Linked DNA regions of Struthio camelus. The protein of the gene in region 4 purifies or fractionates together with the protein of the main gene of each other region. This does not show direct contact. Links are inferred from orthologs where the notes say so. Each region holds a gene or a part of one and is shown on either strand. Other genes may lie near its edges. The genes, in order: GIPC1, GNA13, MYO6 and ARHGEF12.

Region 1 (7,923 bases), on a different chromosome or scaffold from region 4:
CCCCTCAGGATGGTGTGGGACATCCCCAGGTACCCCCAGGCCTGCAGTGGCTTGAGGACAGGCTGAGGTGTCCCCATGTTCCTCTGGGATGGTCTGGGACACCCGCAGGTCTCCCCAACCCCCACACCATCTTAGGGACAGTCCAGGGTGTTCTCACGTCCCTCTAAGGCAGTATGGGATGTCCCCAAGTCCTCCCAGCCCCGTGGTGGCTTGGGGACCGTCTAGGACGTCCCTGCGTCCTCCTGGGATGGCCCAGGATGCTCCCCCCACTTCCCGCTCAGAGTGGCTCGGGCACCATCTGGGGTGTCCCTGTGTCCCCCCATAAAGTCAGACCACGTCCTGGCGTCCCCCCCAAGGTGCCTCAGGGACCGCCTGAAGCGTCCCTATGCATCTCCAAGTAGGACAGTCCCTTCTCATCCCCTCCAGAATACTCAAGGTCACCCTTTCACCCTGAGGCTCTCCAGGAGAGTGGGAGCTGGCCCGGGGTGGGTGACACGTGGGACAGTCGTCCCCGCACCTTGATGAAGGCGTAGCCGGCGCCATTGTCGGTGATGGTGAGGCCCAAGGCCTCCTCGGACTTGAAGACCTCGACCTCCTTGCGTTGGCCCTTGGTGTGGGCGAAGATGAAGTCCTCGAGGCCGATCTGTCCCCCCAGCAGCTTCTCCATGTCCACCTTGTGCGTGTTGAGGGTGCAGAACATCACCTGGGTGGGGCAGGGCCGTCAGCGGTGCAGGGGCACCCGGAGCCCCACGCCGGGAACACGTGGGACTTCCCAGGACACACAGGATCCCCTTCCTGGGGACCACCTCCCTGGAGACACATTGGACCTCCCAGGACACACGGGACCCCCTTCCTGGGGACCACCTCTCTGGAGACATGTGGGACCTCCCAGGAGACACGAGATCTCCTCCGGGGCCACACGAGACCCCCGTCCTGAGGACACAAGGGACCTCTCTTCTTCGGGACGCCTACCCTGAGGGCACATGGGACCCTGGGGACATGTGGGTCGCCCTTCCCAGGGACATCTACCCCAGGGCCACCCAGGAGCTCCCAGGACACAAAGGACCTCTTCCCTGGGGATGCATGAGACCCCCTTCCAGGGGACACCTGCCCTGGGGTGCACAGGAGCCCTGGGACACCTGTCCTGGGGACATGTGGGACCCTCTGGGACACACGAGACCCGCTTGCTGGGGACACCTGTCCTGGGGACACGTGGGACCCCCTGGGACACAGGGGATCCCCACCCTGGGGACACCTTCCCTGCAGAACATGTTGGACCTCACTGCCTGGGGACACCCTGCTGGAGACCTGTGGGCCCCCCCCGCCAAGGACACATGGGATCCCACTGCTCGGGGACGCCCTCACTGGGGACACGTGGGACCCCCCCCCCTCCATGCACCTACGGGTGCTGCCCTCACCCCCGTTCCTCTCCCCCTGGTCTCCGCAATGTCCTCTTGTCCCCCTCCCCACCCCAAGGATCCCCTCACCCTGCCCGTTGAGCCCTCTCTCCCCCAGCACCCCGGGGTGCTCTGTCCCCAAGTGTCCTGATCCCCAGGACCCTCCCCAGCACCTAAGGGTGCCCCATCCCCGAGTGTCCCGATCCCCAAGACCCCCCCAACACCTAAGGGTGCCCCATCCCCGACCGTCCTGACTCTCAAGCCCCCCTTCCAGCACCCAGGGGTGCCCTGTTCCCAAGTATCCCGAGTGCTCAGCCCACCTCCAGCACCCAGGGGTGCCCTGTCCCCAACTGTCCTGACCACTAAGCTCCCTCCAGCACCCAGGGGTGCCCTGTCCTCGAGTGTCCCAACCCTCAAGCCCCCCTCCAGCACCCACGGGTGCCCCGTCCCCAACTGTCCCGAGCCCTCAGCCCTCCGCCAGCACCCAGGGGTGCCCCATCCACAAGCATCCCGACCCCTGAACCCCCTCCCAACACCCAGGGGCGCCCCATCCCGGAGTGTCCTGACTCCCGAGCCCCCCACCCTGGGGTGCCCTCTCCCTGAACCCCCTTCCCGACACCCAGAGCGCCCCATCCTGGAGCGTCCTGACCCCCGAGCCCCCCACCCCAGGGTGCCCTCTCCCTGAACCCCCTCCCAACACCCAGGGGTGCCCCATCCCAGAGTGTCCTGACTCCCGAGCCCCCCACCCCGGGGTGCCCTCTCCCTGAACCCTCCTCCCGACACCCAGAGGGCCCCATCCCGGAGCGTCCTGACCCCCGAGCCCCCCACCCCGGGGTGCCCTCTCCCTGAACCCTCCTCCCGACACCCAGAGGGCCCCATCCCGGAGCGTCCTGACCCCCGAGCCCCCCACCCCGGGGTGCCCTCTCCCTGAACCCCCTCCCAACACCCAGGGGTGCCCCGTCCCGGAGCGTCCTGACCCCTGAGCCCCCCACCCCGGGGTGCCCTCTCCCTGAACCCTCCTCCCAACACCCAGAGGGCCCCATCCCGGAGCGTCCTGACCCCTGAGCCCCCCACCCCGGGGTGCCCTCTCCCTGAACTCCCCTCCCAACACCCAGAGCGCCCCATCCCGGAGTGTCCTGACCCCCGAGCCCCCCACCCCGGGGTGCCCGCTCCCTGAACCCCCTCCCAACACCCAGGGGTGCCCCATCCCTGAGCATGCCGACCCCCAAGACCCCCACCCCGGGGTGCCCTCTCCCTGAACCCCCTCCCAACACCCAGGGGTGCCCCATCCCGGAGCGTCCTGACCCCCGAGCCCCCCACCCCGGGGTGCCCTCTCCCTGAACCCCCCTCCCAACACCCAGAGCGCCCCATCCCTGAGCATGCCGACCCCCGAATCTCCCCCTAGCACCTCTGGGTGCCCCGTCCCCAAGCGTCCTGAGCCTTGAGCCCCCTCCCAGCACCCCGGGGGTGCCCGACACCATCCTGGCCCCCCCCCCCCCCACCCCGACCGCCGCCCCCGCAAAGCCGCACCTCGCCGGGCGGGATGCGGAAAGCCTCGGCGATCTTGCCGTAGAGCTCGCGCACGTTGCCGAAGCCCTCGACGCGGCCCGTGGGGCTGCCGTGGGCCAGCTGCGTGTGGAAGACGAGGCGGGGGCGGAGGGCGGCGGCGGGGGGCGGCGGCGGCGGCAGGAGCCCCCCCGGCGGGGGGCCGCCGCCGCCGGCCGCCCCCAAGGGCGAGCCCGGCGGGCCGCCGCGGCCCCCCGCCGCCTCCTCGTTCTCCACCAGCGGCGGGGCCTTCTTGCGGCGGCCCAGGCCCAGCGGCATCGGCGGCGGCGGCGGGGGGGGGACGGCGGCGGGTGGGGGGGGGGACGCGGCGGCGGCTCTGCGGGGGCTGCGGGGAGAGGGGAAACTGAGGCACGGGGGCGGGAGGCTGGGTGTGTGGCCTGGAGGGGTGTCGTGTCCCCCCCCCCCCTCCCACCCCGGTCCTGGCGTCCCTCCTTGTCCTGGTCTTCTCCCCCCCCCCCAAAATCATGGTTCCCCCCCCACCAAGTCTCATTTCCAGCCCCCCCCCAGCCCCGTCCCGGTCCCCTCCTCGGTCCTGGTGTCCCCCCCGTCCCCGTTCCCCCCCCCATCCCAGTTCTACCCCCCCCAGTCCTGGTCCCCCCTCCCCAGCCCGGTCCTCGTCCCCTCCTCGGTCCTGGTGTCCCCCCCGTCCCCGTTCTACCCCCCCCCAGTCCTGGTCCCCCCCCCCCAACCCCGTCCCGGTCCCCTCCTCGGTCCTGGTGTCCCCCCCATCCCCGTTCCCCCCCGTCCCCGTTCTACCCTCCCCCCAGTCCTGGTCCCCCCCCCCAACCCCGTCCCGGTCCCCTCCTCGGTCCTGGTGTCCCCCCCGTCCCCGTTCCCCCCCCCCATCCCAGTTCTACCCCTCCCCCAGTCCTGGTCCCCCCCCCCAGCCCGGTCCTCGTCCCCTCCTCGGTCCTGGTGTCCCCCCCATCCCCGTTCCCCCCCCCGTCCCCGTTCTACCCCCCCCCAGTCCTGGTCCCCCCCCCCCCCAACCCCGTCCCGGTCCCCTCCTCGGTCCTGGTGTCCCCCCCGTCCCCGTTCCCCCCCCATCCCAGTTCTACCCCCCCCCAGTCCTGGTTCCCCCCCCCCAACCCCGTCCCGGTCCCCTCCTCGGTCCTGGTGTCCCCCCCTGTCCCCGTTCCCCCCCCATCCCATTTCCACCCCCCCCCAGTCCTGGTTCCCCCCCCCCCAACCCCGTCCCGGTCCCCTCCTCGGTCCTGGTGTCCCCCCTGTCCCCGTTCCCCCCCCATCCCATTTCCACCCCCCCCAGTCCTGGTCCCCCCCCCCCCAACCCCGTCCCGGTCCCCTCCTCGGTCCTGGTGTCCCCCCCTGTCCCCGTTCCCCCCCCCATCCCAGTTCTACCCCCCCAGTCCTGGTCCCCCCCCAACCCCGTCCCGGTCCCCTCCTCGGTCCTGGTGTCCCCCCCTGTCCCCGTTCCCCCCCCCATCCCATTTCCACCCCCCCCCAGTCCTGGTCCCCCCCCAACCCCGTCCCGGTCCCCTCCTCGGTCCTGGTGTCCCCCCCTGTCCCCGTTCCCCCCCCCATCCCATTTCCACCCCCCCCAGTCCTGGTTCCCCCCCCCCAACCCCGTCCCGGTCCCCTCCTCGGTCCTGGTGTCCCCCCCGTCCCCGTTCCCCCCCCCATCCCAGTTCTACCCCCCCAGTCCTGGTCCCCCCCCAACCCCGTCCCGGTCCCCTCCTCGGTCCTGGTGTCCCCCCCTGTCCCCGTTCCCCCCCCCATCCCATTTCCACCCCCCCCCAGTCCTGGTCCCCCCCCCCCAACCCCGTCCCGGTCCCCTCCTCGGTCCTGGTGTCCCCCCCGTCCCCGTTCCCCCCCCATCCCAGTTCTACCCCCCCCCCAGTCCTGGTCCCCCCCCCCAACCCCGTCCCGGTCCCCTCCTCGGTCCTGGTGTCCCCCCTGTCCCCGTTCCCCCCCCCATCCCATTTCCACCCCCCCAGTCCTGGTCCCCCCCCCCCAACCCCGTCCCGGTCCCCTCCTCGGTCCTGGTGTCCCCCCTGTCCCCGTTCCCCCCCCCATCCCATTTCCACCCCCCCCAGTCCTGGTCCCCCCCCCCCAACCCCGTCCTGGTCCCCTCCTCGGTCCTGGTGTCCCCCCCCAGTCCCGGTGTCCCCCCCAATCCCAGTTCCCTCCCCCTCGGTCCCAGTGTCCCCCCTGTCCCGGTGCCCCCCCCAGTCCCAGTGTCCCCCCAACCCCGGTACCCCCCCCAGTCCCGGTGACCCCCCCGGTCCCGGTGTCCCCCCCCCGGTCCTGGTGCCCCCCCCGGTCCCAGTGTCCCCCCAGCCCCGGTACCCCCCCCCAGTCCTGGTGCCCCCCCCGGTCCTGGTGCCCCCCCAGCCCCGGTACCCCCCCGGTCCCAGTGTCCCCCCCCAGTCCTGGTGACCCCCCCAGTCCCGGTGTCCCCCCCCAGTCCTGGTGTCCCCCCCGGTCCCGGTTCCCCCCCGGTCCCAGTTTCCCCTCCCCGTCCCGTCCTGCCGCCTCCCTGGGCCCCAGTCCCGGTGTCCCCGGTTCCCCCCCCCCAGTCTCGGCCCCCCCCGCCCCTCACCCTCCTCGGTCCCGGTTCCCTCCCCCGGTCCCGGTGCCCCCCCCCGTCCCGGTCCCCCTGGCCCCGGTTCCCCCCCGGTCTCAGCCCCCCCCCGTCCCGGTCCCGTCCACCCCCGGTCTCAACCCCACGCCGGTCCCGGTCCCCCTGGCCCCGGTTCCCCCCCCGGTCCCAGCCCCCCCCCGTCCCGGTCCCGTCCACCCCCGGTCTCAGCCCCCCCCGTCCCGGTCCCCCTGGCCCCGGCCCCCCCCGGTCTCAGCCCCCTCCCGGTCCCGGCCCCCCCCCGGTCTCAGCCCCCCGCCGGTCCCGGTCCCGGTCCCCCCCCCCCGGTCTCAGCCCCCCGCCGGTCCCGGTGCCCCCCCGGTCTCAGCCCCCCGCCGGTCCTGGCCCCCCCCGCCCCCCCTCACCGTCCGCGTCCCCGGGCCGGGCCCGTCACTCCGCAAACTCCAGCCGGGCGCTGCCGGGCCTGACCCTCCGGGGAGGGGCGTGGCCAGCGCCTCCCCGCCGGCCAATCATGGCGGAGCGGCGCCGCCCCGCCGGCCAATCACCACTCAGCGACACCGCCCCGTCGGCCAATGAGCCCCCGCGCGGGGCGGGGCGGCTCCAGGAAACGGGCCCGGCCGGGGGCGGTGGACGGGCCCCGGCACGCGGGCGGCACCGCCCTGCTCGGCCGCGAGCCCGCCCACGGGGTCGGGGGGAGCCAATCAGAGGCGCGGACTACAAGTCCCAGCATGCCGCGCTGCAGGCGCCGGGCCGGGGGAACGCTGGGAACCGTAGGCGGCAGCGAGGCGGGGAGGGTGGAGAGCGGGGGGAAGCCACAGAGCAGTAGGATTTGGGGGGAAAAAACCCCAGAACCGGCGCAATTTGGCCCGGGGCGGGTGTATTGATGGAACATGGCGGGCAGTGTACAGTTTGGGAGTGGGAACCCTGCAGCCCCTGAGATGCTACAATTTGGGGGGGAAAAAAAAAGCCTGGAAATGGCCCAATTTGGAGGGGGGAAACAGAATTCCCAGCCCCAGCCCCAAATCAGCCTCCTCCTTCCCCCTCCCCCCCAATCCCCTTAAGCTCCCCTCAGTTTAGCACTCCCCCTCCCCCCATCGCAGCCTCTAATCCCCATAATCCCAGGCCGAGCTCCCAGGCCCACACCACCACCACCCCCCCCCACACACAAACGAGCCATCCGTCTCACTTTTACTAATTACACATCAATTTTACAGAGCTTTATACAAAAAAATATCTGTACACGAGTGCCAAGAGCGCTCCTGTTCCAGGAGCAACACCAAAAAACAAACAAACACCCTTTTTATCCGCAAAGGATAACACCAGAGTTGTGCTACGGATGCGAAGGCGGAAGAGGCCTTCCGAAAAAGCCCGAGGCACCGGAGTCTTCCTCGCCACCGAGCCAGGACACGAGGGACCAGCCCGCGCTGGGAGGGAAAGGAGGAGGAGGAAGGGGGGGGGGGGGAAGACCACCGGAGGGCTCCGAGCCACCATCGTCGGGGGGCAGCGGGTGGCCCGGAAGTCGGGGTTGGACCCGCACGACGAAAATCCAGGCGGTGGGAGTTTCCAGCGGAGCCGTCGGAGGCCGCTCGGCAGTTTGGACATCGCCCTTCGGCTCGGGGAAACAAGGGGGTGCAAACACCCCCCCCCCCAAGGGAGGTGCTGCTAAAGAGACCCCGAAAGTCCCAGTTGTGGTCCCCTCCCGAAAAAGAGAAAATAAAAGAAACCACCACACCTCGAGCTCTAGCCAAGTCCTTAAAGCGGAGGCGCTATATGGGCAGGACCTGCTCCAGGATGGGTTTTGAAGCAGGAGGAATGCGGTCAGGGAATTTGACCTCAAATTCGATGATGAGGTCGCCCCGCTGCTCGGGGGTCTTGGGGTAAGGTAAGCCCTCGCCGGGGATGCGCCGCTTCACGCCGGGTTTCAGGACGTCTTTGAAGACCATGGGGATGGTGCGGCCGTCCAGCGTGGGAGTGTTCACCGTGCAGCCGCACAGGGCCTGAAGCGGGGAGATAAACGGCGTTACGGAACAACCGTCGGGTCACCGAAAGCACCCCGTCACACGGGGTCGAACCGCCGGTATCACCCGTATCACCCCCCCCACCTCATCCCGCGGCCAAAACGGGGCCGACAGCAGCTCCGGCCACCCTTGACTCACCTCACGGAGGCTGATTTTAGCCGGGTAGATAATGTCCGAGCCTTCCCTGCGGAAAACGTTGTGCGGTTTGTCTTTGACGACAAAGATGATGTCAGCGGGAATGTTGTTGGGCGTCTGGTCTCCTTCCTTGGGGAAGGTGATCTTGGTTCCTTCCTTCCAACCTCGTTTGACCTCAATAGTGAGGATTTTGTCTTCGTTCCTGACCGTCTTGCCGTCGGGATTGAGGCGCTTGTGGGAGATCTTC
Region 2 (7,360 bases), on a different chromosome or scaffold from region 4:
AAGCGTAACAAAGTCTTCCTCTCCTTTTGCAGCATTAACATATAAATTGAGTGAAGGGACAGTTTAAGCTCCAGCTCAAGAATCAAGATGTGTTTCCTTTTTTCTTTCAAACTCCACTACTGAACTGTGTACTCCATCTTCAGCTGAGAACTTCAATATAACAAAAACCTCATTACATGAGAATTAACATACACGTTTAAATTTAAACAGGAAGTATACACAGGGAATGCTTGCAAGATAGCTCAAATTGGAATTGAGAAGGGAGTGGTTTTTAAATTCTTCTGATTAACCCATGCATATCTTTTCTTAAAAATCACAATACTATTAAGCCTTTCTTTATTGTAATCCAATGTTTTTTTAATGCCAATACACTATTTAACAAGGGGTCAGAATAATCATATGGTAAACACACTACACAGCTTCTAGCCATCAGCTCCTAGCTTAGTTACGGAATTAAAAACTCTGTGTCTCAGTTCTCTCACACATGAAACGAGGACAACTGTGTCAGAGCTCTTTATTATTCTTGGTTTAAAAAAAGAAAAAAGGAGTTAAACACATCTGTTTACAATACCGTAGTGTAACACTCAACCATTCAAACACGCTTAACATTCACATGGAGGCTGCTTGATCAGCGTTTCATTGAAAAGCAATATAGGAACAAGACATCATACAAGACATCATACACGCTCAACTAAAAACACTGAAAGGCAAATCTTACCAGCTGGAATTCTCTGCGCCTGTCATACGCATGCTGGATACCACTATCTGCCCATAGCGCTCTGATAGCTGGAAGGTACTGTAAAAAAACCGCTGTCTCCACCATTCCTTGCACCACTGTGACTGACCGCGTATCAAAAGCCATCATCGTATCTCCATTGCTCTGGTTGGCGGGATCTCCCCAAGGAATATGAAGTTTCTCTCTGGCATCTACGAGGACTCTCACACCTTCAACAACATGAAAGAGCATCGCAATTAGAATTTCTCAGCATCTACTGTTTCACTAGCCTACAAGTTTGTAAAGACTTGAACAATGCACTTACTCCGTGTGCAGTCAGAGTTCAATAGGACTAACCACACAGTAAGAAATAATGAAATGTCTGCAAAATTGACTCAAAGCATTAAATTTTCAAGTAGCCCCTGAGATATTTGCTACCAGAAGAACACAGCCCTGATCACGACCATAATATCCATAGTACCAGTACAACTCTCGCAGAAGCACTACTTTTAGTGAGTAAATCCGTGCTATCAAAACTCTTTAACAGATATTTACACTTTTTTTTCTGATCCCCAGAACCATTTTCTGGCTGTTACACTGACCTGGCGGGAATAATAAGACAAATGAAGCACGTCTAAAAGCTCATTTCAGAATATATTTAACTATCTGAGGCCTTATTTTAAGGTTTCCTAGTCATTGTATTCTAATGAGCTTGGTATCTACTTATACCTACTTGCAGAAAGTAGCCACTGCTATTAATATTTTCAGAGCTATGAAGGAAACATTTACTAAAACCACAACTTCTAAATTTTACGTCTTTACTTCTTAAGTGCAGAAGGGATCTTATCACCTAAACATTGTCACACTTTTTTTTCTTTTTTGCAACAGTAAATATTCTCTAGTAGAAGCTGAACATTTTAAACCTGCTTTACACAGGACTTCAAAGGAAAAAAAAAAGGAAGAAAGAAAGAAAAGAAAAATCGTGTTGTGCCAAGGCTGATAACGCAATGATAACGCAAATGCAAGGAAATAAATTCTGGTACTAGATTTAATGATGGTGAGGGAAAAAAACAAAAATAAAAAGAAAACTCCAGAAGAAAGAACAAGCAACCATAAAGGCACGGGAGAGGCATAAGGAATCAAGATGTACTAACAGCTGGCTCTATAACAACACACTGGTTCAACATCGTCAGTACCATCTTTTCAAGAATCACTGCCTTTTCCATCTGTCAAAACCTATGACTGCAGGAACGTAGCTACAAAGTAAGATTTGCAGTTCTTGCCTGTGTGCTTTTACAGAGTAAAAGTTACCTGATTTTATTAATAGACCATAATAAGGTTAATGTACCTGCTCATAATTGCTACTACCCTGCTATTTATAAATAGGCTTGGTTTATAAATAGTTTTCTAAAGCAATTCTCTTTCAGAATCAGCAGGACTTAGGCCACAAAATACCCAAGCCCCCCCCCCTCCCCAAAACTCGGGGCCGGGGGTCTTACAGCGCTTCGCTATGTTGAGCGACTTAGTCAAGGCTTCGCTCGGACGCGACACAGTCCAGCTCGAAAGCCAGGCGAGCAAAGGCAGCGATGGAGGGAAGAGGGAGCAAACGCGGATGACAGCGGGGAAGTCAGCGGTCGGCTCCTCAGCCATGTGCGCAGGCTCCCGGCACCGCGGCTCCCAACGGGGCTCTGCGCGGGGGGGGGGGGGGGGGGTTCCTCCGAGTGGATGTGTCAGCCCGGTTGCCGGCGCCGCGCCCTCCCGCAGCCAGGTGCGCGCTCCGCCCGTCCCCCCGCCGCTCGCTGCCGGCCTCCCTCCCTCCACCGGCAACGGCCGCCGCGCCGCGCCGCTGCTCCCCTCCTCCGCCGGGCCCGGCCCGGGCCACCCGCCGCCCCGGGTGCGTGTGTGGAGGGGGGAGGGGGGGGAACGGGAGGCGCTGCCCGTGCGGGATGGCGCCGCGACCCCCCCCCCCACACACACCCCACAGCGGGGCCCGGCCCCGTCCCGTCCCCGCGGGCGCCGCCGCCCTCACGCACCCTTGATCACGTTGCTGTAGATGGTGGCGCGGAACTCCTCGCGGGCCGCCCGGTCCCAGTCCTGCCCGTGGATGATCCGCATCTGCTTGAGGAAGGTGGACTTGCCGCTCTCGCCCGCCCCCAGCAGCAGGATCTTGACGAGGCGCTTCACGTAGGTCTTCTCGCGGTTGAGGCACTTGTCGATCTCCTTGGACTTGCGCTGCTGCTCGGCCTCGCCGCTGGTGAGCAGGCAGCCGGGGAAGCAGCCCGACAGCACGGAGCGAGACGGCAGGAAGTCCGCCATCTTAGCGAGCACTGCCAACGAGGGGAGCGGCCGCCCAGCCCGGCCCGGCCCGCAGCAGCCCGCTCTCTGCCCGCGCATGCGCGTCCGCCGCCCCGCCCCGCCATGTGACACCTCCCCCCCCCGCTCCCGCCGGGCACGCCCTCTCACGTGACTGTGGGCGCCGCCGCCGCTGCCGCCCTGCGGCCGCCGCGAGCGGCCTTCGTCACGTGACGCCCCTCTTCCCGCCCTTCACCCGCAGGGCTCCCCCAGACTGTCACGTGACCGCGGCGCGAGCCCCGCCCACGAGCGGCCCTCACAGGAAATGGCGGGAGGGCGGAGGCGGCGGTTAGACGTGTTGAACGCTGCTGCCGCTCACGGCTGCCAGAGCCGCAAACGCAGGCGAAGTCTGTGCTCCCTTGAGGGAAACTGAGGCCCGGCCTTCCCCCCCCCCCCAAAACCGGTGCGCGGGCGCAGGGACGCACGCCTCGGCCATGGTGGCGGCCCGGCCCGGCGCCTCTTCCAGGAAGCGGATAGCGCAAGCGGCTGCGGGGGGGTTCAGCCCTCGGTCAGAGGGTGCAGGATGGAGCCTGCCAGCTCAGCAGTTTTTGTTCTTGGTAGAAAAAGAGAATCGTTTCTGTACAACCTTCTGAACGATTTGGCATGCGCTTCCTGTCCGCTCCTCTGCAAAGAGATGTGCCACCACGTTGGAAAAACGTGCCGAGTTTCACGCGGGGGTCATAAGCAGACAGAGCCAGCAGCACTTTCTATCATCTCGTAGCTTAATAAGAAACAAAGCACTTTAAAGTGTTTAAAGGTTCTCCTAGGGATACTTTGTTAAGGATGGCAAACGTTTACGTGTGGGATAGAGAAATAATAAGCTGAGGGACAAGCAAGGATTGAAAATCCCCTCTTGGTGTGAACCGCCCCTGAGGACGGTTGATTCTGTTTTACCATTTGTGCATCACGAGCAGAAATTAACCTGCGAACGCACCACCGAATACCAGCATGGCACTCCACTGCCTCCACAGGCCTACACTGACTGAAGATCTGGTCCATAATATTAAAGGCAAAAAGATCGTTGTCTTTGATTATTGATACAGTCGTTCAAATCTATCCAGAGAAGTCTTAGTCCTACATATTGGTCAAATCAGACTGCTCTCGTATAGCAGCCCACTGACATGTTGGTTGTTGTCTGAAGACGTAAGGACACATCTGACTGAAAAACTCGCATACGCGAGTTACGTAGGTCAGCTGCGAATATGGTACATCTGTGTCATGCTCCTCTTGATGTGGCCACTTATAGACTATATTGCAGAAATCACATATATACATGCAAGTGCCTATGCAATAGTTACATTAAACATTTCTTTTATCTCCCTTTATTACATCTCCTTGACTTTGGCACCTACTGATTTCTTCCCTCAGTGCTCTGATGCTTTTTCTTAACAATAATTTTAAGTTTAAAAAAAGAAAAAGGAAGAGATGAATGAGGAAACTGTTAGCTGAGCTTAACATGAGAAAATGTCACTGCCTGTTTACTGCAAGGACCCTCCTTCTTCAAAATCTGTGATGAGTATTAATGTTTGCACCTTATATAGGGGATGTGCCCACAAGGAGATAAATTCCATGTGAGTTATTCCACATGATCTTTATAAAAAAAGCATTTATCAAAAGAGAGCAGGATGTGGTTGCATAAAATTCATCTAATCATCCAAGAAGCACATCTTAGTGGTCTTAGTATAGAAACAAAAGCCAGCAATTCTTGAGCTCTAGTCCAAGTTTTAAAACCAAGAGATCTTTGCTGGCTTGACACAGTTCTCTGAGAATCTCATCTTCAGAAATGCAGAAGACTCCCAAGCTCCTACAATTCCTCTTGGAGTTAAGTAGTTTTCAGTAAATGAAAATCCTGCCAACCTTTCTCATTGCGTGCTTCTTGTCTGCATAAGGAAACTGTTAACAGTACTTGTGCTTTCCTTCAAAAGGTTTAATGTTCTTCCAAAAGGGAAATGAACATTTGTTGCCTTTTAGTGAAGGAGAGAGTTAAAAACAAAGAGGTCAGGGCCAAAATATTAAAACAAATTTTGGGTGCCTCCTTTGTGAGAAACTGATGAACTCCTACCAGTAAAGTATACCAAAGAAAACCGGACTAAGTCATAGATTGAGAAAATCATGGTTGTGCAGCAGAAAAGATAACGACAGCCAAGCTTGGGAAAGGATGACTTGTGTCTGCCTTCTGGGCCAAACAGCGAGATGCACCTAAAATCATGGGGTGCAATGATAAAGGGGGTGAATGAAAGAAGAGTAAAGGCTATTTTCCTGACAGTAATATGACCTTCCAAACCCAGGCCATCCCTTGCTGGAAGTCAGAACTGTGTCAGAACAGACAGGCATCCCCTAGGGCTACCTGTGCTTCCTTTCAGTGCTGCTTCAGCCTCTCATCTAGTTCTCCCTGGTAGTCTCAGTTTTGTCCTTTTCCTTCCTCTTTTTCCTCCTTTCACTTCACTTTCCCTCATCCACCCACCCAGCCAGTGACTTTGCTACAGCCTCCCCCTTCTCTGGCTTCTCTCTCCAGCTGCCTGCAGCCAGCTGCCCTGTGTAACCATCATCCTCCAGTCATCCGCTTCCTGCTGTCCCCCTCAACGCAGGGTCCTGGTCACTCCTGCCTGCTCTCAGTTTGTCACCTCATTCTCAACGACTCCCATTCTTCATTTTCAACTGTCCAGAGCACCTCATTTCTGGGTAGTCACTGGCCTCCTCCCAGCGCTACCTTCGCTTCTCTCCCCTTCACTCCACATTCCCAACTGTGCCCTCCAAAATCTTCTAGCTGTACTATTCCCAATCTTCTGTTGAAGGGACATGGCCTTCAGCATGCTGCAGAGAGGGAAAGATTATTCCCCACTACATTAAAACCTGAGCTGAGGATGACCAGAGTTCCCTGGGGAGGACATTAAAGTGGGCTCAATGTTATCCAGCTCAGCAGGGAAAGCAAAATATCTCAGTCCTGGGTCAGGTGTTAACCCAGCTGCATCCTCTCTCCCCAGCAGCCAGGTCTCATCTGTAAGGCAGGGTGCACAAGGTCTTTCTCTGTTTTGCTTTTTTCCTTCCTCTTTGCCATTTCTTTCCTTGGCTTTCCTGTCCCTGGAAGGTCCAAGAGTGACGGGAAACGAATGCTTGCTGCCCATTCCTGCTCCCAGCTCTTCCCACGTGGCTGCTGAGAAAACCCCTCATTTTCAGTGGTTGTGCCCTAGCAGAATAGGACGATGGACTGTGGAGACATTGCTTTAACTATTGCCTTGCAACGGCACTTGCGACTAAGTCATGTGTCTCTCCATGCTGTAGTTTCCACCTTTTTTTGGTAAACTGCTTTGAAATCTTCCTGGAAGGAACTAGGTGCTGAAATTCAGTCTGTGCTTGACGTGCTCACAGTACCATTCTCATTGCTGCATTTACGTTAGCCCCTTCCTTCCCCTCACCACCATCTCCAGTTTCCTTAGAAAGCTAGTTACTCACCACATGTCTTTTGTGTTGCCTGACAGAACTTCTGATGTGTGAACAAAGGGCAACCACGTAGGAAATGTGATCTATAAAAAAGGGGGGGATTCCACCTACCATGCTTTTCACAAGAGAAAGCAAAGAGAATCGTCATCTGAGCTGTGAATGGGTCTATTAAGAATGAGGCTAACTTAAAGGGACTTTGGAAGGAGAATGGAGAGACAAAGTTTAAGGTCTCATTGGACCTTTCTCTGGCAATTCAAGGGGTATTGCAACCAGGAGATGACACAGGGGACCAGCTGCAGCTGAAGAGGGAGTAAGCTGAAGTGGAGGTCTGTTGTGTGTTCAGTGTGAGGTGTGCCCCCGGTTGGCATGGTGTGGCTTTTCTCTGTGGGCTCTAGTGCATAATTCAGCATCCAACACGTGCTGACTTTACCCTGCTCTGTCAGAGTGCGTTTCATGGCCCCCAGGCACAGGCACAGTGGGATCTGCATGCTCTGGAAGGCCCATGGGCTTGCATTGCCACCGCATGGTACGTGGACCACATGAATATATCTTCACAATGGCATCACATACCACAGGTGTGGGACATGAACATTCATGCAAACATACCGTTACATAAATAGCATTGGATTCACATTAGAAAACAGGCACTGTGAGGTACAGTGATCTCCCCAGAAAACATGTTTCTTCATTATGAGGGGTGCTGTAGGTCAGGACTAACTTGGAGATCCAGAAGTCAGTGGGTAGGTAGGAAGTCATGCACAGCTCCTGCCTGAGCTCAGTCTGCCACTCTCCCCTGCTCTTCTTAGTCCCTTGCTTTCTTGACTGACAAATTCACATATAAAAGCATCCGAG
Region 3 (8,489 bases), on a different chromosome or scaffold from region 4:
GGCAAGGAGTTCTTCGAATGATGTGTCTAGGTGGGTATCAAGGACAGCATCTACATCTCTGACAGTGGATTTGTTCAACCAGCAATGTAAGTTAAGCTGGCTCTGCAGTGTATAACCTCCCCCCCCCACACACACACAAACACACACACATGCCAGTGATACGTGAGTAATTGGTAATTGCTATTCTGCGTATTATCCATGTGGCTTTTACTGGGTTCTAATTCCTATAATACAGATCCTCATAGTCCTTCAGACAAAATATCTGAAATGGTAGGGCCCATTCTACCTTTTATATTTTTACATGTGTGAGAGTGGGCCCACGGATATCTGTGCTAAAGAGATGTGTTAGCAAAAACAAGAGCAAATCCTTTTGCGGGACACATGGGGCACGTGTGCCTCAGAAATGGACTCCATGCATCCTGAAATACTGTGATGACTTTGAGGATACCTTCTAGCTGCTCTGGGCAACTGCAATCTCATTTTCCAGTTTTTGGTATTTGAGTTTATAGAAATGCTCTGTTCACACAAGTAAAATAAAAAGCAACGGACTTGAGAAAGGCTGTTAACTGATCAGTCAGGGGTACCTTTTACCTCTTCTTGCACTATTATTTAACCAAGTCTATTTTGCATTCCTTTCTTTTTTTTTTAACTACTCACAATTCAAAATAATCTATTTGCTTAGTCTTTATATATATATTATATATATTTATTATATATAATTTCAAATACATTCTTTAAGCAGAGGTTATTGAAAAATTGGACCAATCCAGCAGATTTACTTCCAGTCAAAATATAGACCTTCAGAAACTAGTCATACTATCGCTAAAGATGGAAATGCAGAACAATCAACCTTCCTTAACTAACATGCAGTCTGATAACAGGAAAGAAGAAACTACTTATGAACTGAAATGAAACAGTAGGACTTCAAATAGGAGCTGCTGCCTTAAGCCATATAATGTCTAATTTAATAGTAAGTTGAATGTATCAGTTGGAATACAGAAGGCCTGTGGAAAAGTCAAGGTGTTTAAAAAAAAAAAAAAGTTAGCTATAGTCAAAATAGGTGTTCACTTAAAGTCTACTGGGAATAAGGAAAAAGAAACCCAATCTTTTCACGGCTGTCAGAATCATAGCATTATGTATACGCCCGTAATACTAGGTGAAAGGGAGCAGATAAGACTTACATGCCCGTTTCCAGTAAACAGTTTTCATGTTAAGGAAATGAATGTCTCTTACCTTGAGTAAACGTCCGTGGAAAGAAGCCACAGATTGATTCTGAAAGGATTATGATCTTGGAATTGGTAAGGATACTATTGCTAAAATCCCAGTAATATTTTTTAATTTCTTGAACTCTTGTCTGTGACCATAAGCTGCTATGAGCCAGTTAGAAATGTTCTTTTGCAAACGTTTAAGTAAGCTATTCTTTGTCTAGATAAATAATAGATAAATTGTACTGGCAAGACTAAGTTGGCAGCTACAACAGCTACATTTGGAAACTCTGTACAGGTAAATCCATTTTTAAAACCAATAAGGATATGACTTGGATGTTTTTACTTTTCTAAAATGATTTTATGGAATATCAAGCCACTAAGCTGAAGCACTTGACAGTCAGGAAACTTCAACGCTTCGTATTCACGAGCTGTGAGGTGTTTTAGCATGACCAGATTACACAGATACAGTGTAGTTACATTATATTTATATACGCGTATGACAACAAAGCACTTTAAAGTGAATGAACTTTGGGCCATAGGAAGTCATTGGTTAGGTGCCCACGGATGTTTCTACAGGCAGAAGTTCACCCATTACAAGCTACATTTGGAACATGTAATCCATGAAGAAACTCAGCTAATTATAATACGATTTAAACGCAACCTTTCTGTGTGAAGAGATACATATAGTAAAGGCTTGTAGTGACTGTCAAGCCTGATTTTTACATTTAATTTCTCATAGTAGAGACTGGGGAGAGAAACTTAACTCTCACAATCCGTTTCATATTTACACTGGAAGGTCTAGATCTTGAGCAACAGAATTATACAGGAGATTTCACTTTCTTAGAAGTTCAGATACCTGACATACCATTTTAAATATTGTTTGAAATGAAAATAGGTAGAATATTCTCTCAAAGTTTTCCGGGAAGTCACCTGGAATCCTTTACCTACTTATCCTTTCAAATAGTCTGCAGTTCATCAGCTCTGACAAAATACGATGGCCCGTACCACATATATTTAAAAAAATGTGGCAAATCTGAGGGCAGAATGTGTTTTCTACCATCTGTAAGAAATGAATATTTAAACATAAATTTTTAGTATCTGGGTGAATTAAGACACCGTGGACATCTGGAATATTGTCAGTTCTGCCTGGCAGCGTACAGCAAAGCAGCGTGCGCCCGTACTGATGTTCTCGCTAAAATGGAGCATTGCCTTGTCTCAGCAATCTTTCTACCTTTGGTACGATCATGGGATGCCGGGTAGGCTGTCTAGTGTGTATCGTTTGCACGTTTAAGACGATACTGAAGTATGGTACTAATGTTTTGTTCATTACAATAGACTCTTGCTACCTGATAGGTACTGCGTACTACTGAATGAAAGCTACTCCTGCAAATCTCATCTGTGCGTTACCGCTTTTGAATGGATATTTCTCCATTACGGTTTCTCCCATGTGACATATTAAAGGCACAGGAAGAACTGAGTCACGGTAAAGGCACTCTGGTCTCCATTACAGCCATTAAACTGAATCTATGTCTTACAAATATCAGTAGCCTAAAATAGCCATCAAGTAAAAATTGGTTTGAGTTTCCACCCTAGCCATACTGTTTCCTGGTATTCTGAAAAATCTCAGTTGGACTGAAATAACAGAGGCTGGTCACACTTTCCTATGAATGAAATCTGGAATGCTCCCCCTTCATATACAGAAAGTGAGTACAGTAAAACACGTTTTTCTTTGTTTTCTTATTTCTTCTTTTTTTCCCTTTGTTTAGGTTGAAGTTCCTGCACTCATATTTTACTTTTGTGGGAATTTTCTTCTTTTTTTCCCAGAGGATCTACAGAACAAACGCTGCTGTGTCTTGGGTTATTTTTAGAATTCCCAGGGACAAAAAAGTGAGAGAGTAGACAGACGTGCTCCTTACCAGGAAGCGGCACAGTAGATCATGAGATACTCTTCAGTGCTGCATCACTTCCAAGGCAAAGTGGAAGTGATTGGCTTGTTTACACTGAAAATATTTTGTTGACCATTTCCTGCCATTATATCCTGTTTTGCTAAGAGGTTTTTTTTTTTTTAAATCAGTCAGTGAACTTATATTTTCGTTTAGTTTTCTAGTCATACTTTTTTTTCCAGGTAATTATTATCCTTATCTCTTTTGCAAATAAAAAGAAGACTGAACGTACAAAACACTGCGCCAAAAGATAGTGGGTTAAGTGGAAAGTGCCACTCCCCTTCTCTAGAAGTTTAAAATATTTTGATCTGTCAAACCTGTTAACTATTCTTAAATTGTATCAAATGAATATGCAACTGCCAAATTAAACTGTCACTTTGCAGACATGTATAGTGTTTTGAAAAACAAAATCAGCCTATAGCATGTTATATGAATTGTAGGAATGTTAATCAGGACAGAGCATTTACCTCCACCCGTGCTCTGCTCTGCCTTAGATGCCGGCTTACTCATCCAGTTTGTGTACTCCCATTTTCACTTCCACGTGTACTTCCATGCTATTCTTTGACAGAATCCTTTCCCTGGAAAGCTCCCGGGGATTTCTGTTTTTCCCTAAAGGAAATATGAGGTTTTCCAGACACTCAGAAAGGATCCACCTGAAAATACCATGTCTAAAGAAAAGTAGCCAGGGACATAATGTTAAGGGAAAACATGAGAGATTTTGAAGTGTGAAGTAGCTAGATTCACTCTGTCAGCAAAACACACAAGACGACTTTATGGTCTTGCAGTGGACAGCAAAGAGGCTTTGCACATACAGTCAGGATAATTATGCTGTTCATCAAGTATTGCATGAAGAGAAGCAAAGTTTTTATGGGAAAATTGAGAAAGAAGTGGATAATGTTAGGAACGCTAATAAAACTAAGGGAGAGGGAAGTGATACAAAAGTACAGTATACGTACTTAAGGAGGGGTGGTTATATGCGTCTCTGGTGGTGTGACACAAAGTTTGACGGAACGCTCTCCAGCTGGGCTGCTCTCCTGAGTCACACCAACGCACTGGTGACAGTCACTGGCATAAGCAGCTGGGTGTGCACGGGTGCAATAGAAAATCTCCACAGCAGCTCGGAAAGCCAATGGAAATACTGGTGTGCAGGTTAGCAAGTGTGCTGCCTTGCAGGTGCATCAGACTCAGGCTAGACAGGGCCAAAGGCAGGCAGACACGACTGTCACTGAGCAATAGGTGCGATCTTAGCCTCTCCGTTTTGTGCAAAATTCAGCAATATATACCTGTGGCTCCCTAGAAAAAGGGTTGTCATGGTAGTGAAAAGAGCAGCACCTAAACAAGACGGGGATTTACGAGAAAGGATGTTTTTCAAGGAATCTCTGATTTTCAGAATTTCCACAGCAGCGGAGCTGCCATCTACTGCATATCTTTCTTTATAGTGTGATGGTTAATTAAAACAAACATGAGAGGACCAGTGAAACTTCGCTTTATTTCAGTTTGCTTTTGCTTTGAGATTCTGACATACTAGTATGAAGTTGAAGCATTTATGTTGGCACTTAAGTGAAGTTGCTGATGAACTCTAGTATTTGAAATGCAAATAGAAAGCAAAAGAGGTAAGTAGCAGCAAAAATACTGTTTATAACAGAGTACATTGAGACAGCCTGACTGAAATCAGAGCTAAAAGGTGTTAGACACTGCCCAAAAATAACTCAGAAAAAAATGCATTCATTGAATTCTATCCATACGCATCAGGAGATACAACTTTGTGGACACAGTTATTTCAGCATAAAAATGCTGTGACATGCCTGAAATTTCTAAGAAACACATGCGATGAACGGAAACCTGACTCTTTATGTAATGGCATTGGTTCAAAAAAACCTAGCCGCATCTCCACCCCTCCCCCCCCCCGGCCAAAAAAAAAAAAAATAAAACCAAAACCGAACCAACCGACTAAACACCACTTTCTGGTGCAAGAAAGAAAAAGCCAGGTGAGACCTAAGAGACATCCCCTGCACCAGAGGTCATCCACCCGCTCTAAGGGCAATGCTGCTTCCTGAATGCATCGCCAGCCCTTTCCTTTACTCCCGAAGCTTTAACTCAACCCTTTCTCCTCACGGTATTTTACCCAGGCCGGCGACATGGCCCCCACGTGGGGCGCGGCCAACGGTCGCCAACGGTCGCCGCCCGGCGCGCGGCCCGCGGCAGCCCGGGCGGGCACCGCCCCGGGGCGGGGCGGAGGCAGCGCCGCGCCCTCAGGTGAGGCGAGCGGCGGGGACTGTGCCCCGGGGCCACCGACAGGCCCTTTTTTTTGGGGGGGGGGGAGGGGAAGCCTCCCCCTTAGCCGGGGTAAGGCAGGTAGCGCCCGCTCGCAGGCCACGGACGCGGGGCGGCTCGGCTTGGCCCGGCCCAGCGGCGGCTTGGTGGGCAGGGGGCGGCGGGGGGAGACCCCCGCCTCGCCCCCCGCCCGAGCCGAGGGAGGGGGGAAGGTGTGGGGGGGGGGGTGCGCCAGCGGGCCTCGCCCGCTACCGCCCGGCTCAGCGCGGGGCCGGGGCCGGGGCCGGGGCCGAGCCCTGCCCTACGCGCAGCGACCTTGGCGGCTACGGAGGGGCTCGGGGCGGGCGGGGTCTCCCGGAGGGGCAGCGCCGGTGCTGCGGGCAAGGCCGGCGGGCCTCAGCCGCGCTTCGCTGGCGTCGCCGTCGCCCCTTCCCCCCCCCCCTTCTCCTCCTCCCCCGCTCCGGCGGCGGCCGCCCTCGCCGCGGAGCCTCCGCCCCCGGCCGGCCCCTGTAGCGCTGACGTCCCGGGCGGTTCGCCGGCCCGAGCGGCGGGGGGGGGGGGGGGCGGCGCAGAGCAGCGCGGCAGCGGGGCCAGCCGGGCGCGCAGCGCCGCCGCTACAGCAGGTAACCGGGCGCCGGGCCGCGCTGTCCCGGTGCGGGGCCTGGCGGGCGGGCGGGTGGGCGGAGGGGGACAAGCTGTTGCTGCCGCCGCCGTCACCCGCGGCCGGGCCCCGCGGCGGCGGCTTGTTGCCCTTCAGCCTTCCCCACTGCGTCCTCCCTGCCCCGTGCTCGGCGGGCCGGGGGGGTGCCGTCCTTCTGCCCCCTCCTCCCCCCCCGCGGCGGCGGCGGCGGCTTGCCCCGGCGTCCTGCGTGTGCCCTGCCGGCGCCTCCTGCCCGGCCCTGGCAGTCCCCCCCCCGCCGTGGGCCGCGCTGTGGGGCCGGCGCCGCCCCGCCGGTGGCCAGGTGCGGGCGGCTCCTGCGGGAGCCGCTGCCCGAGGGGAGCCCCGCGGGCTGGCTGCCTGCCGGGGCAGCAAAGGCTGCGCCGGCGGTGGCCGGGAGAGTTTGGTAACTCCACGTTTGTAAAACGCTTCCCAAAGGGGCGGGAGGGAAGTGGGGACTTCCCGGAGCGCCGCTGCGTGCATAGGTGCCCTCTGATATTAAACGTAGGCATTAGAATAATATGCAGTACTTCTTTAAAAGTTTAGCAAGCTTAAAACAGAGAAGGGTGAATACTGCAGTGGAGAGGATTAGAGTTCGAAGCAGGAAACGTTGAGAACAGAAGCTTCAGTTGCATTCAGTAGATCTCACTTCACACATCTCCTTAATTAAACAAACGTATTACCATTAAGGTGGGAGAAGAAACACAAGGGCGCAGGAGGCGTCCCAGGCAGTCAAGTGCCGGCCCTGAGGTCTGCAAGCTTACCTGGAGCCAGTAGCTTCAATTGAAAGCTTTTAAATGTATATGTGTAATCAGGAAAAGTCCTTCTAGGTGCTTTCCTGACTGCCCCCTTTACGTTCTTATCAGGATGGTTTTTTAGCATAGCCAGACCTTCCTTATTAGATGCAATCATAGATTAAAACGCTTTTCCTTTACATCATGAAATGTCATTGAACTTTCTTGTTCCTTTAGTATCATCTCCTGTAAAATGCTGTATGTGCTAAATTCCACTGGCTTTCATTTTAATTCCTCTCAATTCAAAAACATGGCTGTGTCCCTGTAAGAGAAATGAAATTTTTTACAGTATTGACATACTCCAGAGCATGACTTGTACTACAGTTAAAACACATCATCTGTTGAAGCAAATTCCTCTTGAAGTACGTTTGCAGACTTCAGTTTTGGAAAGCAGTGTGCATAAGCATGACAGACTACCAAAATCTATTTTTTAATTTCTGTGATTTGTATGTATTACTGAATAGGAAAACTTCAGTAAAAATATTCTTCCCCTTAATCTGCCATCACTTGAGTACAATTTATACGGTATGATATTTATTGTTGATGCTTGCCTGATAGTTGGTAGTCAGATTCCTTACTAGTAAATCCTAATGCCATCAGAGACCCATAAAATTAAAATAGGTATATTAACTACAGACTACAGATCGCATGAATTACCAGTTATTTCACTTAAATATTGCTGATTGTGTCAGCCCCCCCCTTTTTTTTTTTTTTTTAACAAAGGTGGTGGGAAGTAGAATGTCATGTCATCAAAATTAGTGTCTTGGCTTGCTCATGGAAGGAAAAGAACGTTCTTTGAAGTGATCTAATTTCTCACGGCTCAGTTGACATTATTAGGCTGTAAAATGGCCTATGAACTTGGTTAGCATTCAGCAGTGTACAAAGGTTGACAGCAGAGTAAGTTTTCCTTTTGTTACAAACGTGACAAATTAACAGAGGGTAAGAGAAACAAGATCTGAAGTTAAGTGCAGTCTGAAGTTTGTCTTTTCTAGAGAGAAGAATGCTAGGAAAAAAATCTGATAACAGAAGTGATTTAAGGATTAAAATTATCTTAGCGGAAGTCTGAAGGTATAAACAAATATCTTCTTGCAATATTTGTTTAAATATCATTGTGGAACTGTGCTAATGCACAAGATAATTGTGAAGTGTACGTTTTATAAAATAACTGCAAAGAAAAGAGTAAGTTTATTGTTAGAGCTGGGAGAGTAAATGTGAAAACTAAGTGGCATAGCAGAAGGTAAAAACCTTTCCATTGCTTTCATTAAAATAGAAATTAAATTTAATCTCAACTGTTTTCAGTAGATTTTTTAAAAATGCATGTAAATTAATAATCTCTGTTTAGCAATAAAGTACGGTTATGCCTTTTTGAAAATATAAAGCCAACAGAATGAATATAACAGCAGCTATTAAGCCTTGCAGCAGTCTTTACTATCTGAATTAAAAAGCCTGACAGAAGTGACATGCAGAAATTATAAATATGTACAATTGTAAAAAATAAAACTAATAACCCATCCCTGTATTTCTAACTTGAGGAGGTTTTCATGTATAATCTACGGTAAATACTATATCCTTCAGAATCCGGAATTGCTATGCATCTTTGTTCTGATATTCA
Region 4 (7,802 bases):
TCTGAATAACTTTGCCGAGGAGCCATTGTACTGTCAGAAGTCTCAACACCTTTTAGTCTTTTTGTTTCATACCTGGTATTCCCCCATTCACCAAGGCACTCACTTTCTAAGGCTCTTAAGACATTGAAGGAAAAAGATATTAGAAACTATGTTGCCTTGTCAATTAGTTGGATTAGATAACAGAATCCAACTTGAGGATAGAGAACAGCCAAAGGGAACAGGGCTACCGTTTGATATACAGAGACAAATATCCAAAAAAACATCAGATGTGAATTGGCACGACCATGTATCAGCACAGTCTCAGCTAATACAACCTGTTAACTTTCTTGGGGAAAAATAAAAAGGAGAGGGTTTAACAAAAAATTAGTTTATCGTATTGCCTATAAAGCAACAGTAAAAGTGGCAATTCATACCTTCCTCCTATTTTACAAATACTTAACTATCATAAACAACACAACAAGAACGCAGAAGACATAAAACACGTAAAAGATGGAACAAATGCAACCTGGACAAGAGGAATGTCAAATAGCTATCAAAACACATGGTATGATAACCACTTTAAGCTAAAGGGATATAAAAGAAAATATTTGCCATCTGTAACAGGGATTTAAGCAGCTACACAAGTGTAAAACGCAAGTATGTAAAGCTAATGTGGAGAAAAACGGAGGCCCATGATGCCCTCTTCATAATATCATTTGGCATGGATGTAAGCTGTTTTTTGGTTTTGTTTGTAAGGCAGTTCCCAACTCGATCACACCAATGCGGGTCACTGACAAATAAAGAGAGAATTAAACACGTAATATGATTTGTAGTGTGCAGATCTAATGACATTGCAAGTGCAGAGTTTGCACCTGCTTTCTATTCCAAGTTTAGGAGCTGGATCTAAAGAGACAATATAGAGGTTTCTTGGGCATGCCGGGAAAGCAAGCTTTTCACGAATATACTGCTAGGACAACAGTGACAAAAAAAACACACCTCTATCCAGATCATGCATAATGCTGTAGATAAAACAAACAAGTGGCCTTCTTCTAGACTCTTGTAAGCAGAGGTCCACATAATGAGAACACGCACACTGCCACATTTAGCATGGTTGAAAGTCTCAGTCAAGAGACTGAAGACTGAATCACCTTCTCGTCATTAGAGCTGGGAGTCTCTCAGGTCAGAGGTGAAGCACAGAGGCAAGACCTGACTGCCCTGCATCTCCCCAACCATCATACAACCCTACTATTAGAAAGCTCCGATTGCTACAGCTGGGGAGACAGCCCTTTTCCCTGACATTTGAAGTCTTTTGAATCAAAACCTTAATGGAACACCAAGAAGAAACATGCCCTGGATGTGACTGAAAGCAACAGGAAACGGAGACATGTTTTGTCTCCGCTACGTTTTCAATTTGTCTGTTCTAACTCAATAACGGAAAGCATTTTGTTTTTATTAACAAGCAAATTCCCTGCCCTCCTGCTTTTCTTTCCCATGCATCTACTCAACTGCTTCTTGGTGTGAAAACCCTGCTGTTCCTTTTGATGTCTTGCAAGCTGTCTTAAGACCCACACTCTTAAGTATTTGACAAAAGTCTCACAAGGCCACTCAAACATCTTCTTTTACTATCACTGTCTTGTATGGTACAGAAGAAAAATGTCCTGGAACTCAAGAACATCTGCTAGTGTTCATGCACATGGGCCACAAAAAGAAAAACAAGTTGGCATTTTCTTCTGTCACATGTTCTGCTAGTACAATTCATTTCAGAGCAGCTCTAATAGTTTAAGAACAGTACAATCAAGAACGTTGAACAGACACGATACTTGCACTACAGCTGCTTTACACTGCTCAATTACTGTACTGCCTCTTAAGACCTACAGAGTTACGAAAAAGCCTTGGTGTTAATGAGAATTAAACTTGGTCTCTTTTCTGCCCACGCTTGAAAGCTAAAAGGCTCTCAGGCACCCAAAAGCATCACCCTTCTGTCCCGAGCCTAGTGTACCTCCTGCATCAGAGAGATGCAGGCCATACTGGACATTTAAGGCCTAAGCAGGCCTTTGTCTCACACACATTGACACCGTTACCAACAAATATGTAATAATAAAGGAAAAGTCTCTTTTGCTAAAAAGCCTCAAAAAGGTATCTTTGTTGCTAGCCAGAAAGATCAAAATTAGACATGAACTCATACTTCTCTCTCAAAGGAAAGTTTCCTACTTGACTCATTTTTCTCACAATTAGGAAAAGAAAAAAAAAAAAAAAACACCTTTTTTTCACCTGCCTCTGAAGCATCCCAGTACAAGTGGGAAAACTCCTGACAGCTAATGAACCGCACATAGCAGCACCTGCAGTGAAGTCCAGAGGCCTGAGCAGGTAGCCAAAGCAAGTAGTAGATTACTGCTAAGGTACTGTAGGCACCAGTAAACATTCCTGCTCATCAACTACCCTTCCCGCTCTCACCTGAAGTGACCTCTCTTTGAAAGGCTACAACGCATTGACCTAAAGAAAAGCAAGCATAATCCCCCATTAAGTTTTCGGGTTGAAGACTCAAACTGCATCCTCAACTCTGTCACTTTTCCAGCTCTGACTTCACATAGTTCCTTGTGGTTTTCCTACCAGCATCAATCTGCCCTGGAAGCTGAATTATAGAGTCTCTGGTTCTTACAGTCAGGCTGGAAGGCTTGAAAGTAGTATGACTTGAAATACTTCAGTTTCAAAGTTAACCCATTTGCCTTGACAGTCAGCCACCCCCGATACATATTGCTTTCCAGAAACTCCATTTAATCCCGCTTTCCTGATCTCCTCTGACCAGAGATCTTTGACACCGTCACTGAAGCCAGAACACAAAGCACAGGAGCTCTGAGCAGCACCCAGGCTTCGTAAAATCACTTCATACTGACCTGTCCGTGATTGTGGGCTGTGTGCCACTCATTGGAGCCTTTAGCAAGAAGTCGTATTATCCAATCTGCATTTTACTATTACTGCAGGAATATTAACGAGGCTTTGCACCCCGCATGCACTGAGGTTCAGGATCCAGCCTTGCTCCAGAAGAGGCATGCACAGAGGACAAATTCAGTTCAAGGGTAAGGGGTGGGGGGGAAAAAAAGAAGGGGGGGGGGAAAAACTCCAAAACTCTTCTTGCAGTCACCCAGAATATCCAGATCACGGTGGAGGGATGTTTAAGGAAAACTCCAACAAAAAAAAACAAGCTGCTCCCCTAGACCCCCCCTTACCCCCCAACGAAGAGGGGAGGGGAAAAAAACAACGCGTGCCGGGGGAGGAAAGTCTTCAAAAGCAATAAATCCTCAGACGGTCCGGAGTTGCAAAGAGGGTGCGCCGGGGGGGGGGGGGGGGGGGGGGAATCCCGACTTTCGCGCAAGCCGCAGGCCAAAAGGGAAAACGTCGGGAAACGTCAGCCGAAGGGGGAGGGAGGGGATGCGGGGACACCCCGCCTGCCCCTCTGTGCCGGGCGGGGAGGGGAGGGGGCCGCCCGGCCGCCGGGACCCCCCCTCCCCGCCGCTGCTCACGGCCCCTGGCCCGCGGCGGGCGGGCGGAGCGCCCCGCCGGCTGCCGGTGTCCGCGGGGCCGCCGCGCCGGGGCCCATGTCCCGCTGGCGGCCCGCGCCGACCCCCCGCCCCGCCGGCTGGCCGCAGCGGGGGGGGCGCGCAGGGCCCTCTAAACCGCCGCCGCCGCCGCCTTTAGGCCCGCCGCATGCCCGGCCGCGCCGCTTGGCCCGAGCTACGGCGGGGCGCGGCCCGGCCCGGCCCGGCCCGTCGGTGCTGCTCGAGCCGGGGGGTTTCCGGTGGGGGCAAAGTCCTGTCGCGAGAGCCGCCCAGGCGCTGCCGCTGCTGCCTCCCGGTCCGGTTCCGGCCCACCTTGCGCCGCGGCCAAGCCAGACCAAGCGAGGCGAGGCGAGGGCCAGCCAGCGGCGCCTCCACGGCGGAGCCTGCGCGGGTCGCGCCGGGCCGGGCCGGGCCGAGCCGCGTCCGCCCCTCCCGCCGCGTTCGCCCCGCCCCCTCCTCCTCTCCTCCCCCCCCCCCCCCCCCCGCTTTCACCTCAGAGCCGCCTCACACCGCGCCGCCCGTGTCCTTCCGCCGCCAGACCCCTCCGCCGGCCGCGGAGGCGGGGCCGGAGGGGCTCCTAGCCCGCTTCGGCCCGTTTTTTTTTTTTATTTTCTCGTTTTCTTTTTTATTTTTATTTTTTGCTTGTTTTCTTGGTGTATGTGTGTTCGTTCGCGTTTTTAAGGGGCGCTTTCTTTCTGCTTTTCCCTCAGTGCGCGCCGAGAAGGGCCTGTCTCCCCCCGCCCTCCCCCCGTCTCCTCACAGCGCTGCCGCCGGCCGCCCCCTTCCCCCGCCCCGGCCCGGCCCGTGGCGCATTTCCCCTCCGCCGGGCCGAAACGGCTCCTTCCCGCCCGGGGGCCCCGGGCACAGCGAACACGGTGTCCCGGGGCCTCAAGCACACACGTCGGAGCTCCGTGGGGGTTTTATTCCCCACCTCCACCGTCCCACCATTACGGCTTTTAATGTAAACCGAGGCGCTCCCCCCTCCAGAGGGTCCCCTCTCACAGCCCCCCTCAGGCCGGCCCCTGCCAGAGATAAAGCTTTCAGCATTTCCAAGCAAACCGCGTTTTTCTTCCCTTTTTCTTCCATTCACCCATTTTTTTAATAGCTCTCCCCCCCAATTTGGCCCGTAGTATCAGCGCTAAAGATGTTTCTCTCTCTTTCCCACTCCTCCCCCCCGAGATCCACCTCGGAGACATCCCTCCTCTCTCCTCTCACGCCCTCCGCAACCTTTCTCCTGTGTTTGGGCTCCTCTCCACGCTGATGACAAGCTCGGCCGGGTAGGGAGCGCTCCCGGGCTCGACCTGCGCCCTTTGCCGTGTGGAAAACACCACGACCAAGAAAACTTTTAACAGAAAGGAAATACACGGCAAATTAGAGCACCGGTATGAAACGGCGAGCAGCAGGCGCTCTGTCACCACACCTGCTGGACACGGAAAATCTCCGCATGCACGGATTTGCCTCTCTCCAGTCGGGCACGGCTCTCAACAGAAATACGTCCTTGCTGATGCCTTGCTGTGACTGCCCAGCACCCACGCTATACATAAACAGAGCTTTAGGGAGAAGCGTCTGTCTCAGCTCTACATGTATTCGAACAATGGGTGAACGGCATGAAGCAGGCTGTAATAACAGACCAGAAGCTGAATACTAGGTGCATTACCTAATCCTAAAATCTTGTTGCCAACACAAAGGGCAAATAAATAAGATGTGAACCAAGCGCTCTTCTTTTCAAATGCCAAGGAATAATATTTATATACTAGAAGTCCATGAACCTTCCAGGTTACCCTCATTGCCGGAATTAAAGCTAATGCCCACCGCAGAAGTGAAAAGGGTTTAATCAAAGCGCGGGGGATTGTCAGCTTGGCCCCACTGCCGGGGAGGGTAGATACCACTGCGTGGTCTCCCGGAGCTAAAGGATTCATGCAGCACCCCATGACGGGGAGCTCACATCAGTCTTTCCTACCACATACCAACAGACCAACATAACTATCTTTTTAGCTAGCCCCCAATCATACAGTACACTTTCCTGCTCTCCTTTAATCAACCCTTACCTTGATATGCTTCTTCCAACTCAGGAGGCTGGATTTGGAAACAGTCTGGAAAACAGGCCTCTGCAAAGTCGAGACCAGCTACAACATCACTAAGGCACACAGGACAATACCTTGCTTTAAGTTATGTTCAGAAGCCTGTCACTCCACAACATAGAGCTTTTTCCTCCTGGGAACCAAGCGAATGTGAATCAGGAAGTCAGGAGACTGATAGTCTGATGAATTTGTTTCTAAGAAGTACAATGCAAAGGGGGGAAGCGTGGGATGAAATCATTTGCTAGATGATACTTGACACAGACATAAAGAACACACACACTTCCTCTCTTGGTTTCCTTTTGGGAAAGGCTTGAAAGAAGAGACAGAGGGGGGTGCCAGACATGCAACCATGACTGTCTGTAATACTGCTGCAGCATGCAATAGCACTGGTCAGCGTTAAGGGAATCTTCCCTGCAGTAAATCCCCTTTTAACTCACTGGTTTTCAAATAGTGTGCCTTGAAAGAGGAAGGTTCCCAGGAGAGCTTCTGTTCCATGACAGGCCTGGCACTCGCATATTAGGCCTTGATGCTCTTTTATTACTTTAATTATATCTTATTGTGCATGACAAAATAATGACAATAACAGCCAGAGGAAAACCTAAATATATACATACAAATATATATATATATATATATACACACACACACACACACAGACAGAGAGCGAAAGAGGAACTAGAAAGTAACATACCTCTGCTGCAGTAAATTGTCATCAAAGTCAGTGGAGTGACACTGATCACCGTTTGCCAAAGAATTTGCTCAGTATTGTCAAAAGCAGCTTCACAAAAAAAACTACATCGATAGCAAAGAGGAAGCATAAAACCCTTATACCATATTGTTCAGTAGATTAACTCTTGCTCATAACGGGCTGCATTCCCATTTCACTGTTTAATGCAACAATTAGAAAGAAAAAGCACTAATAAAACAATTCAAAAGCAGACTCTGGTACCATAAGTGCTTCTCTTCTGTGCGAATGCTGGTTTTAGTTGGGAGCTGATTGTATACTTATGTTAATAGGCATCTATATTTATGAGACCTCTGCTTCCTGGGCAGTTTCACAACGTGAAATCCAAAAAAAAAACCAATATGCAATTACACTGTGCAATATCAATTAAAATATTTTTTTCCCCCTTGGTAGCTATAAGGTCCTCAGCCTCAATTTATAGTTAGTACAGTCATACCTACATAGATGTTAGGAGTGGAAAATGCATATTTAGCTAACCAGTCTACGTCTCCCGGGCAAGGTAGCAATGTTCCCACAGAATATACCTCACAGTCCCGAACAGAGCTAAGTGACTCAAATAAGGAGGACCCTTAACTGAACAATGTTGAGTCCTATGAGCAGTAACCCCTTTCTTTGCTTTAAAGAAAAGGATGGCACAGGAAAGGAGAGATCCTCAGAGGTACTTTATATGGGTCTCCTCAAAAGGCATGCTTATGGAAAAAGGTTTTACTGAGGTTGTTTTGAAAAGACCTGAGTTTTCCAACCTCATACCAGTAGCTCACCCGAGGACCTGTTGCCATCTGCTGGCAAATCCTTGTATCAGCTCATCTAAAACTTGTCCTAGGGACATTTTAACGAGGTCCTGCCCACGTCCCCACCCACCCCGCTTTTGAAACAAGTATTTCAAACCAGTGTCAGATTCTGGAGCTTTGGGGAGCTCTAGGTTGCTGCAGTCTGACCACTTCAGGGTTCAGTTTGATCAGGATTTGCCCTGCTACAGGCTCAGTGCAAACAAGAGGTAGGAAGTAAGCCAAGACTGATGACGTTTTTACTCCCTGATGCCAGCTGTCTATCACGCTGCCTTGCCTCAGATAGCTAGTATACTTCAAACTTTAACCTGAGTATGAACAAACAGGGAACGTAACCAGAGAGATTTTTTTTGTTTGATGAAAATTTCACATCATAACATTTTTAATAGGATACTCAACCATTAGAGGAACTTACCGGAGTGCAATGAATCCTCTGCAGACCCTGTCAAGACTGGAGAGCTTCATAAAATTGTGTGCTGTAGCTCAGATGTGATTTAGCTGAGCTTCTCTGACCTCCATGATATAAATTTAGTGGATGAAGAATTTTCTGACCTTAACTCTATTCCTAGTTCTGTGATTTGTAATTTGAAAAGGTATAGACTGTGGAACTGAAAGTCTCTAGTGTTTTGCTCCTTACAGGTGATCGATTAAC

The links.
Region 1: the proteins of ARHGEF12 (region 4) and GIPC1 purify together in Homo sapiens (co-immunoprecipitation; 4 studies listed by BioGRID and IntAct, with this or other methods). This does not show direct contact. The link is inferred for Struthio camelus from reciprocal best matches to the Homo sapiens genes ARHGEF12 and GIPC1.
Region 2: the proteins of ARHGEF12 (region 4) and GNA13 purify together in Homo sapiens (affinity purification with western blotting; 3 studies listed by BioGRID). This does not show direct contact. The link is inferred for Struthio camelus from reciprocal best matches to the Homo sapiens genes ARHGEF12 and GNA13.
Region 3: the proteins of ARHGEF12 (region 4) and MYO6 purify together in Homo sapiens (affinity purification with mass spectrometry; 4 studies listed by BioGRID and IntAct, counting the BioPlex papers as one, with this or other methods). This does not show direct contact. The link is inferred for Struthio camelus from reciprocal best matches to the Homo sapiens genes ARHGEF12 and MYO6.

What each region holds. Positions count from the first base shown.
Region 1 is NC_090972.1:3,432,288-3,440,210, forward strand, and holds the start of GIPC1 (PDZ domain-containing protein GIPC1), read right to left. Parts: upstream 3,222-7,923; coding exon 2,928-3,221; intron 704-2,927; coding exon 518-703; intron 1-517. Other genes in the region: DNAJB1 (dnaJ homolog subfamily B member 1), read right to left, coding at 7,290-7,520, 7,680-7,923. UniProt on the Homo sapiens protein: May be involved in G protein-linked signaling.
Region 2 is NC_090960.1:3,531,705-3,539,064, forward strand, and holds the start of GNA13 (guanine nucleotide-binding protein subunit alpha-13), read right to left. Parts: upstream 3,138-7,360; 5' UTR 3,110-3,137; coding exon 2,749-3,109; intron 946-2,748; coding exon 719-945; intron 1-718. UniProt on the Homo sapiens protein: Guanine nucleotide-binding proteins (G proteins) are involved as modulators or transducers in various transmembrane signaling systems.
Region 3 is NC_090944.1:43,547,436-43,555,924, forward strand, and holds the start of MYO6 (unconventional myosin-VI), read left to right. Parts: upstream 1-5,373; 5' UTR 5,374-5,407; intron 5,408-5,980; exon of another isoform or gene 5,981-6,048; intron 6,049-8,489. UniProt on the Homo sapiens protein: Myosins are actin-based motor molecules with ATPase activity. Unconventional myosins serve in intracellular movements. Myosin 6 is a reverse-direction motor protein that moves towards the minus-end of actin filaments.
Region 4 is NC_090963.1:3,848,684-3,856,485, reverse strand, and holds the start of ARHGEF12 (rho guanine nucleotide exchange factor 12), read right to left. Parts: upstream 3,320-7,802; 5' UTR 2,906-3,319; coding exon 2,874-2,905; intron 1-2,873. UniProt on the Homo sapiens protein: May play a role in the regulation of RhoA GTPase by guanine nucleotide-binding alpha-12 (GNA12) and alpha-13 (GNA13). Acts as guanine nucleotide exchange factor (GEF) for RhoA GTPase and may act as GTPase-activating protein (GAP) for GNA12 and GNA13.